Linked DNA regions of Danio rerio. The protein of the gene in region 2 purifies or fractionates together with the protein of the main gene of each other region. This does not show direct contact. Links are inferred from orthologs where the notes say so. Each region holds a gene or a part of one and is shown on either strand. Other genes may lie near its edges.

Region 1 (3,938 bases), on a different chromosome or scaffold from region 2:
TTTCTCTTTTATGCATTTTTTTCTTACAAACACCATTAAAGCATTTTAGATGTATGAGATATGTAATATACTGACATCAAATTAATAAAATTGATAGCAAATGAGAAATAAATGACAGAAAAAACAGACAATATCACAAATAAATTATAATAATTACAAGAATAAAACATGTAGATTATTTAAATGAGGCAAATGAGTTGATTACCCATTTTAAAGGTGTACATATATTCTGCAGCCAATTTAGATGTAATGTAGTCCTCTCCGAGTATTTAGTTCTTCTGAAAGTTCAAAGTTCTTCTGAATCGTTAAGATTAAATAATTTATTATTTAATATCTCTCTTGTGACTGTGCGCATAAAATTAACGACAGCTTAGAAAGCAAAACCAAATCCCGGACATTTTAGTAGATTTAGAAAAGTTGCAGGTCTCTGTGAGTCTGCAGTAGGCATGGGCCAGCATTAGATTCTGAAGGTATGATAATCTTGAATAAAAATATCACATTTTCTTGGTATTGTGATTACTGCTCTAAAATATATACTTTTTAAATGCCTGGGTAAAAAAATATATATTTTTTCCCGTTTGAACAGAATATATTTTATTGTGAGAAACATTTAAAGTATTTTGGAGCAGAAAACATTGAATAAATAATAAAATTTAATTATTGACTTCTGCTGTCATCATTTGTTTCAAAAACAGATCTTTTCTGCTAGAGATACTGTTGTTTCAAGCATAGTCTGCAGAGCATGTGAGACTGTCTCGCACAAACAGAACAAGTGATACGACACAGGTACAGACGAGAAGATTTTTCACTACTTAATCGCTCGCGGATATTTGTTTATATTGGGTGGATACAAAAAAAAAGATGTACAAGGATGATAATAATAGTAAAAAAAAACAAGGCAGCACACCCAAATAAAGTCTATGTAGGAAGCACTGATATTATTTTTTTAAAAATACATTCAATTAATTACAAATTAATTTAATAAAACAATTAAGACTCAATATTAACGTACTATTATGCACTACTAAAAAAAATAAACAAATAATTGTTGTGCCAATATCAATATTGTGCATATTTAATATCACAATATATTAAATTACTTAATATCATTTTCATATAAAATATTTTCATAAATGGGTTTACTTTGCTGCAAGCGTTCTCTGTGGAATCTTCCTCCTCCACATCTTCCTCCTCTTCCTCTGGAGAGGCACCACTGCTGTAGCCGTACAGTTTCAGAAGCTCCTCGATGGGCATCTCACCCTCCTACCAAAACGAAGTGCAGTCACATAATGAAATTAGACCCATGTCGATTATTAAAAGGGCTTAATCATGAGCACATGTAGTGAATGATAAAAAATAAAACAACAGATGCCCCATACTCGAGTGAGGTCATCAATTTCATTGGTGAAGTTGGTCTCTCCCTCCAGCTTTTCCTGCTCCTCCAGAGTCTGCTCATCATCAAAATCATGCACAAGCATGTCTGCAGAAGGATCAAAGTCTTTGTCCTCATCCTGGACCACTGCATGTGCTCCTATTTAATAAAAAAGATATATTATTATTAGTTTTATCTATTCACTTTTAAAAAAGAACAGTAATAATAATAATAAAACTAATAAGTAATGTAATTATTTATTTATAATGATGGTTTTATTCTATATTAATTATTTATTAGTTATAATTAGTTATTAATATTTCTTTCTAATTGAAAATGACAAAGGATCAAATGAAATGTTTTTATTTGTTGTGACTGAATATCAGAGTTATTCCAACAAATATGGATTTCTTAACCGCTCTAAAGATAAACACTGGCATTGTTTACATAATAAAAACTCAAACAGAGAAAACTTAACATGTTCAAAAATGTTTTATTATATTTATACTCATGTATCCATGTGTGTTTATATATAGTCTACAGTCTTCAGAGGCACGTGATCCTTAAGAAATCACTCTATTATTAATTATTATTATTAATGTAATAGCAATGAAAGCAACAATAAAAGGAGTAATAATTTCATTTGAAACTACATACAATAAGAAAGTAATAATTTAAAATTTTAATAAATATAAAATTGTTTTTTTACATTTAATAAATCCCGCCTTGATCTACAGAATAATAAATAACAATAAAAAATAAATGAAATAAAAACTGACCCCTTACTACTGACCAGTTGTGTAAATACAGTACATATCTTTATGCATGTTTAAGTATGCATATTTGTGTGTGTGTGTGTGTGTGTGTATGTATATGTATACATACACACACACACACACACACACACACACAAACACACACACACAAGAAAAGCTTTGAAGCACAGCCAACATGATCATAAATCTACGTTACCTTCTGAGCCTGAAGCACTTAAGGAGGGCTGAAAAAAAATGAATAAACAACATTTGAAGCGCTACGATAAAACAACACATTTTAAAAACAAAAACAATGAGAGAAAAGACGTATTAACGTACATAAAACCTCTTGTTAATATAAAGACTCTGAAAAATAACCGGGTATCTTTACTTACAACTGACTACACAATGTTTGTGTTAAATAGTAAAAATAGAAGAATAAGTTAACCTGGATGTGAGTTTGGCGCTCAGGCAACAAGTTAGCTGCTAGCTGCTAACACATTCAAATTGGGCGCCTTAAACTGTTTGCTAATTATTCAGAGCTCGAATGTTAAGAAATACGTAATGGTTCAATAGACTAAAATGAAAAATTAAGATACGTTGATTTAAACATTACGCGATTCTCTCAGACGCGTTATTTGCTGCAATTTGTAATGTTTCTTACCTCCGCCATAGTTGATGTAGGTTCTGCGTGAAGCCAGCAATAACAATTGTTTAATTCTCAACTCTGAAGAGGAGAACAGCTGCAGTAGAGTTGCAAACACTACAAAATAAAAGTTCCACCATCACATGAACACAGCTAATATCTGAAAAAAAAACTATTTTCCAGAATATATATTTAGCAGTATTAATTAATTTTGTTGTATAAATATTACCAATAAGTTAAATAGCAAATAATACTTGGATATTTTTCAGAAGTTTACAGAGTTTTACCTTTTAAAATGGAGGTTAGGTACTGGACCCTTTGTTTCCCTCATAATTGTTTTTTATAACTAATGAATAATACTTATAAATTGTGTGAATTTCTTATAAGGGACACCCCTTAAAAATGAGATCTCACGGGGCTATGCTGCTCTCTTCAAATGATTATTTTATTAATGCTAATAGTTGTTATAATAGCAAAACACACTAGAACAGAAACCAGAAAAATATTTAAATATATATATATATTTATTTTGGTTGATGTAGCAGTTTATGTGAATCCACATGGGGTTCATAATATAGCATTTATTTTACAAATTTATTTTACATGTATTTAAAAAATAAGTACACACCTAGTACAAATATATGGTTTTGTTTCATAGTTACATTGTATACTTTTTCATTACCTACAGTGCTCAGCATGAGTACTACCCCTTACAAATATATCATTTAAATTCATATTTCCAATATATGTTGCTTTACAATATTATATTTGTGTATATACATTAGATGAGTCAGTACTGAAGCCAAATCGCGAGCTAATCTAATAAAATAACTTATGATAACAGTCTAAAAATGAGTACACCCCAATTTATGTTAGAAAAAATATTACATTAAAAAGAGGAAAAATAAAAAAATAAAAAAGATATAAAATTTAGTTGAATTTTTTTTAGTTTGTATTTATTTTGTTTTTTCAATATTTTGCATGAATTTAAATGTATTAACTCTCCATTTCTAAAGACAACCAGTGACTAATATATTCATTTGATTAATATATCTATTTAATGAATTTGTTTTGTTCAAATACGCCAAAATATATGAGCTGTATTTACTGAGAAATTAACATAGAATGTGACAACATGCCCCATTTTAGATGAGGCACATTGTGT
Region 2 (3,838 bases):
GTTCCGCAGAAATCCACATATTTTTACCAAAATTCTCCACAGGAATGGCAAAAGACGACCGCAGATTCCATCTGGCCCTAGTTATTGGACCGAATGTAGCTTTATTAAGGCTGATTTATACTTCTGCATTAACTTCTGCTCTGCAATAACCCTTTCAAAACAGTAGCTGGCAGTAGATTTATATGTTCCTCTGCGTCGTGTTTCTTTGCTGGTGTTTTGTTTTTTCTGAACGCTACCTTAATGTATAAGTACCTAAAGCTCGCACATTCAGAGGCAGGAACCAGTGGATGTGCAACAACTTTAATCATAAGATAAACACAAAACAGTTTCCATCTAGAGCTACTTTATGGGACTTGACACTTGTAAACACTCGCTCCAATGGATTCACGCTGCTCTCGGTTCTGCCCACACTGGTCACAGCTACCAAGTCGACCAATCACAGAGTCAATCACGCGTCGAGTAGTTACATTTTTTGAGAAGTGATGTCAGCATCAGCCACAGTGAGGGCTATGCGACCGCATGAAGGCTGCGCAGGAACATATGCGTGCGCTTGATGCAGAAGTATAAATCAGCCTTTAACCTTTCACTGGGCCTTCTAAACTTTTCAATTACAAAGTGGTCAAATTTTCCCCCATGTATTTTACATGGCAAATAAATACCTATTACATCAGAGTAAGGCCAAGAGATCAACATATCATATAAATTATATCTCTAGCTAGTATCAGATTAAGGCTTGATAATAAATTAATGAATGAATGCATACGACAAACAATAAATACTATACATGATGTGCTCAATTCAAATAAGTTAAATATTCAAGTGTAAAAAAAAACAAAAAAAAAAACTTAAATGTACTGACCGATGCAACTCCCATGATGAGAGGGAATGTAACAGACGAGCAGGCATCTGGGGTTTGGCCAAAGGTTGTATAAGGAGTCTGAAACCAAGCTTTCTCATTGGCCCAGATCACGTCGCACAGGGGCAAGATAGATGCTCCAAGACCAATGGCAGGCCCATTCACAGCAGCAATGATGGGCTTCTTGAACTGGATGAATGTGTTGACGAAAGTTCTGAAGATAACAGAAAATACACTGAATTCTCTCACTGAAATATGATCAAAAGACACATATTTAGTACACTTCTAATCAACCCATCACATGATTGATGCATTTAGGCATGATCAATCTCTGCTGAAGTTCAAACTGAGCATTAGAATGAGAAAGAAATGTGATTTAAAGTCTGCATGACCTGGAAGTTGCTGAGTAGGGATGGGAAGATTAACCGATATGTATCGATACGCGGTCATGCGCGTGCACGATGCGAGTGCATCGGTTGAGCAGCAGAGGATGAATGAAATTTTGGAAGCAAATCGAGATGCATCAGTTTTTGCGAGATGCATCGATTTTTCCGAGATACAGCTTATATTTTCAATATAGAATGTATTTTTTATTTATTAACAAGTGTTGTCAACCTGTTTTGGCGCATAATTTAATCGACCTACATAAAGTAAGCCTTAGCAACGGATTTGCGGATGTGCACACACTACAACTCAGTGTATCAGGTGTGCGGATGAAGCTAGTGGAGCGCCCTCAGAAAGTGCGAGAAGCAAAACAAACATTTTATTCCCCACTGAGTTTTAAATCTAAAGTATGGCAACATTATGGATTTAAGGATGGACGACATGACAGGACAGATGCAATTTGCAAAATGTGCCGCGCATCTGTAAAATACGCGGGCAGTACGACTAATCTGATATCTCACTTGAAGCGGCGCCTCGGTGTTGTTGTGAAAGCATCTTCTAGTGTTTCTGCATCCCCGGCTTTCGCACTGCTTCAACCAGCTCCAAAAGTGGTGAGAAAAGCATTGAAAGTTTTTTTTTCCATGCGCAACAGTTCTGCTCGCTCTACGCCAATAACGAATGCTATTGCATTGTTCATCTGCACAGATATTCAGCCTAGTGTCACGGAGAACGAAGGTTTTAAACACCTCCTCCTGTTAATTTTTATTTAATTATATTAATATTAATAATAATAATGATAAAAATAATTGGGTGTCACGGTGGCACAGTGGGTAGTTTGACCACCTCACAGCAAGAAAATTGCTGGTTTGTTATATTTTTATTAGCCTGTTGTTTACAGTGACAGTGATGTTTCAAAGCAGCATAACACTGCTAGTTCACGACCTTAAGTTTTGAATAATCAGTGGCAAAATATATCTTTGTAAAACTTGTTTTCATAGTTGAAAAGTTAAATCACAATTCTTGTTGTGCAATGCTAAATTTATTTATGTTGAAAGAGTGCAAATATATATATATATATATATATATATATATATATATATATATATGTATGTATATATATATATATATATATATATATATATATATATATATTGCACTTATACATTCTGTTTATCTTGAAAATACTTAAATAATATGTGCTATATGTTCTAAAATGGCCCTCTACTGTAAACTGACACTCTGGCTCTGAGAGAAGAGCCAGTTTGTAAAAAAGTCTTGGTTTTGCTTGGTTAATAAATAATCAAACTCATTCAATGGCACAGCATCCTCTTTCACATCATCTCATAAACTTGATCTAATTAGTTAAGTGCTGAAATATCGCATCGTATCGTGATATGGGTGTGAATCGTATCGTGTTGCATCGCAATATGTCATAAATGTATCGCTAATATATCGGATCGTATTCTTTGTATCGAGATGCGTATCGGATCGGCATTATAGCTTAGATGCCCAACCCTATTGCTGAGACTTTTATTTCAGTATGTTGATGTACATCCCAACTGAAAAAGACTATTGATTTGGGGTGGGGCTATGTTTCTGCACATCATTCCCTCATAGCAAACTAACGGTAAGAGGGGTATGGTTAAGAATACTGTGGCTGAAGCAGTCAAACTGACATCAGCAGAGAAGAATTATAACCACAAACCAGAAGCAGATGGTCAGACTTTGATTGATCACAGTAATTTGCACAGATTAACTGTTCACCTAAATAATGACAAAGTGTTCAAGCTAAATAAACATAGTAAATTTTGATGTCACACTGACTTTAAGCAACTTGGTATGTGCCTGGATCAATGGAGTCAGACGGGCTGGTCCGGGTTTGAACAACCATCTTTAAAGATTGCAAATAATTGTCAGAAAATATCCAAATAACAGATGTTATGCTTAAGGGTTAATTTGCCTTGCAGAGGTCAAAGGAGAATGACCAGACTGGTTTGAACTGATTGTAAAGTGACATCAACTCAAATCATCGCTTATTACAAGTGAGGTCTGTAGATGAGCATCTTTGAACGCAAAACACACTGAACCTTGAAGCAGATGAGCTACAGCAGCAGAAAATGAGTGCACACAGATGACACTCCTGTCAGATGACAACAGGCTCGGCAAATTCATTTTGACAGACCAGCAAGTTTTTGCTGAAGTAGATTACAGTGCTGAGATCACTTAAATCAGGGGTCTCAAACTTGTGGCCCGCGGGCCATTTGCGGCCCTCAGTGCAATATTTTGTGGCCCCTGCCGACCGCTGTACACTGACAGAATCAGCGAAGCGGGGAGAGAGAGCGCTCGCCGCTCCGCTGATTCTATCCGTACACAGCGGTCACTGGCATTCCCCGCCCGCCGTGTAAACAAAGGGGCGGGGATGCCGGTGACGTCACCATGCACCCCGCCCCTTTGTTAGACGCTGTAACGGGCGGGAAGTGTTAGGAGGGAACTCGCGCCAGCCAGAACCAAGGTAAGCTGTTCCCGCCCCTGCCTGCCACTTCTGCCACAGCTACCTATCTGCAGCCTGCCACCTACCTAACTACAGCCCGCATCTTA

The links.
Region 1: the proteins of cdyl (region 2) and mier1a purify together in Homo sapiens (co-immunoprecipitation; 3 studies listed by BioGRID and IntAct, counting the BioPlex papers as one, with this or other methods). This does not show direct contact. The link is inferred for Danio rerio from reciprocal best matches to the Homo sapiens genes CDYL and MIER1.

Annotation. Positions count from the first base shown.
Region 1 is NC_133181.1:37,372,249-37,376,186, forward strand, and holds the start of mier1a (mesoderm induction early response protein 1a), read right to left. Parts: upstream 2,840-3,938; 5' UTR 2,801-2,839; coding exon 2,792-2,800; intron 2,373-2,791; coding exon 2,345-2,372; intron 1,532-2,344; coding exon 1,380-1,531; intron 1,264-1,379; coding exon 1,144-1,263; intron 1-1,143. UniProt on the Homo sapiens protein: Transcriptional repressor regulating the expression of a number of genes including SP1 target genes. Probably functions through recruitment of HDAC1 a histone deacetylase involved in chromatin silencing.
Region 2 is NC_133177.1:26,961,258-26,965,095, forward strand, and holds part of cdyl (chromodomain Y-like protein), read right to left. Parts: intron 1,071-3,838; coding exon 860-1,070; intron 1-859.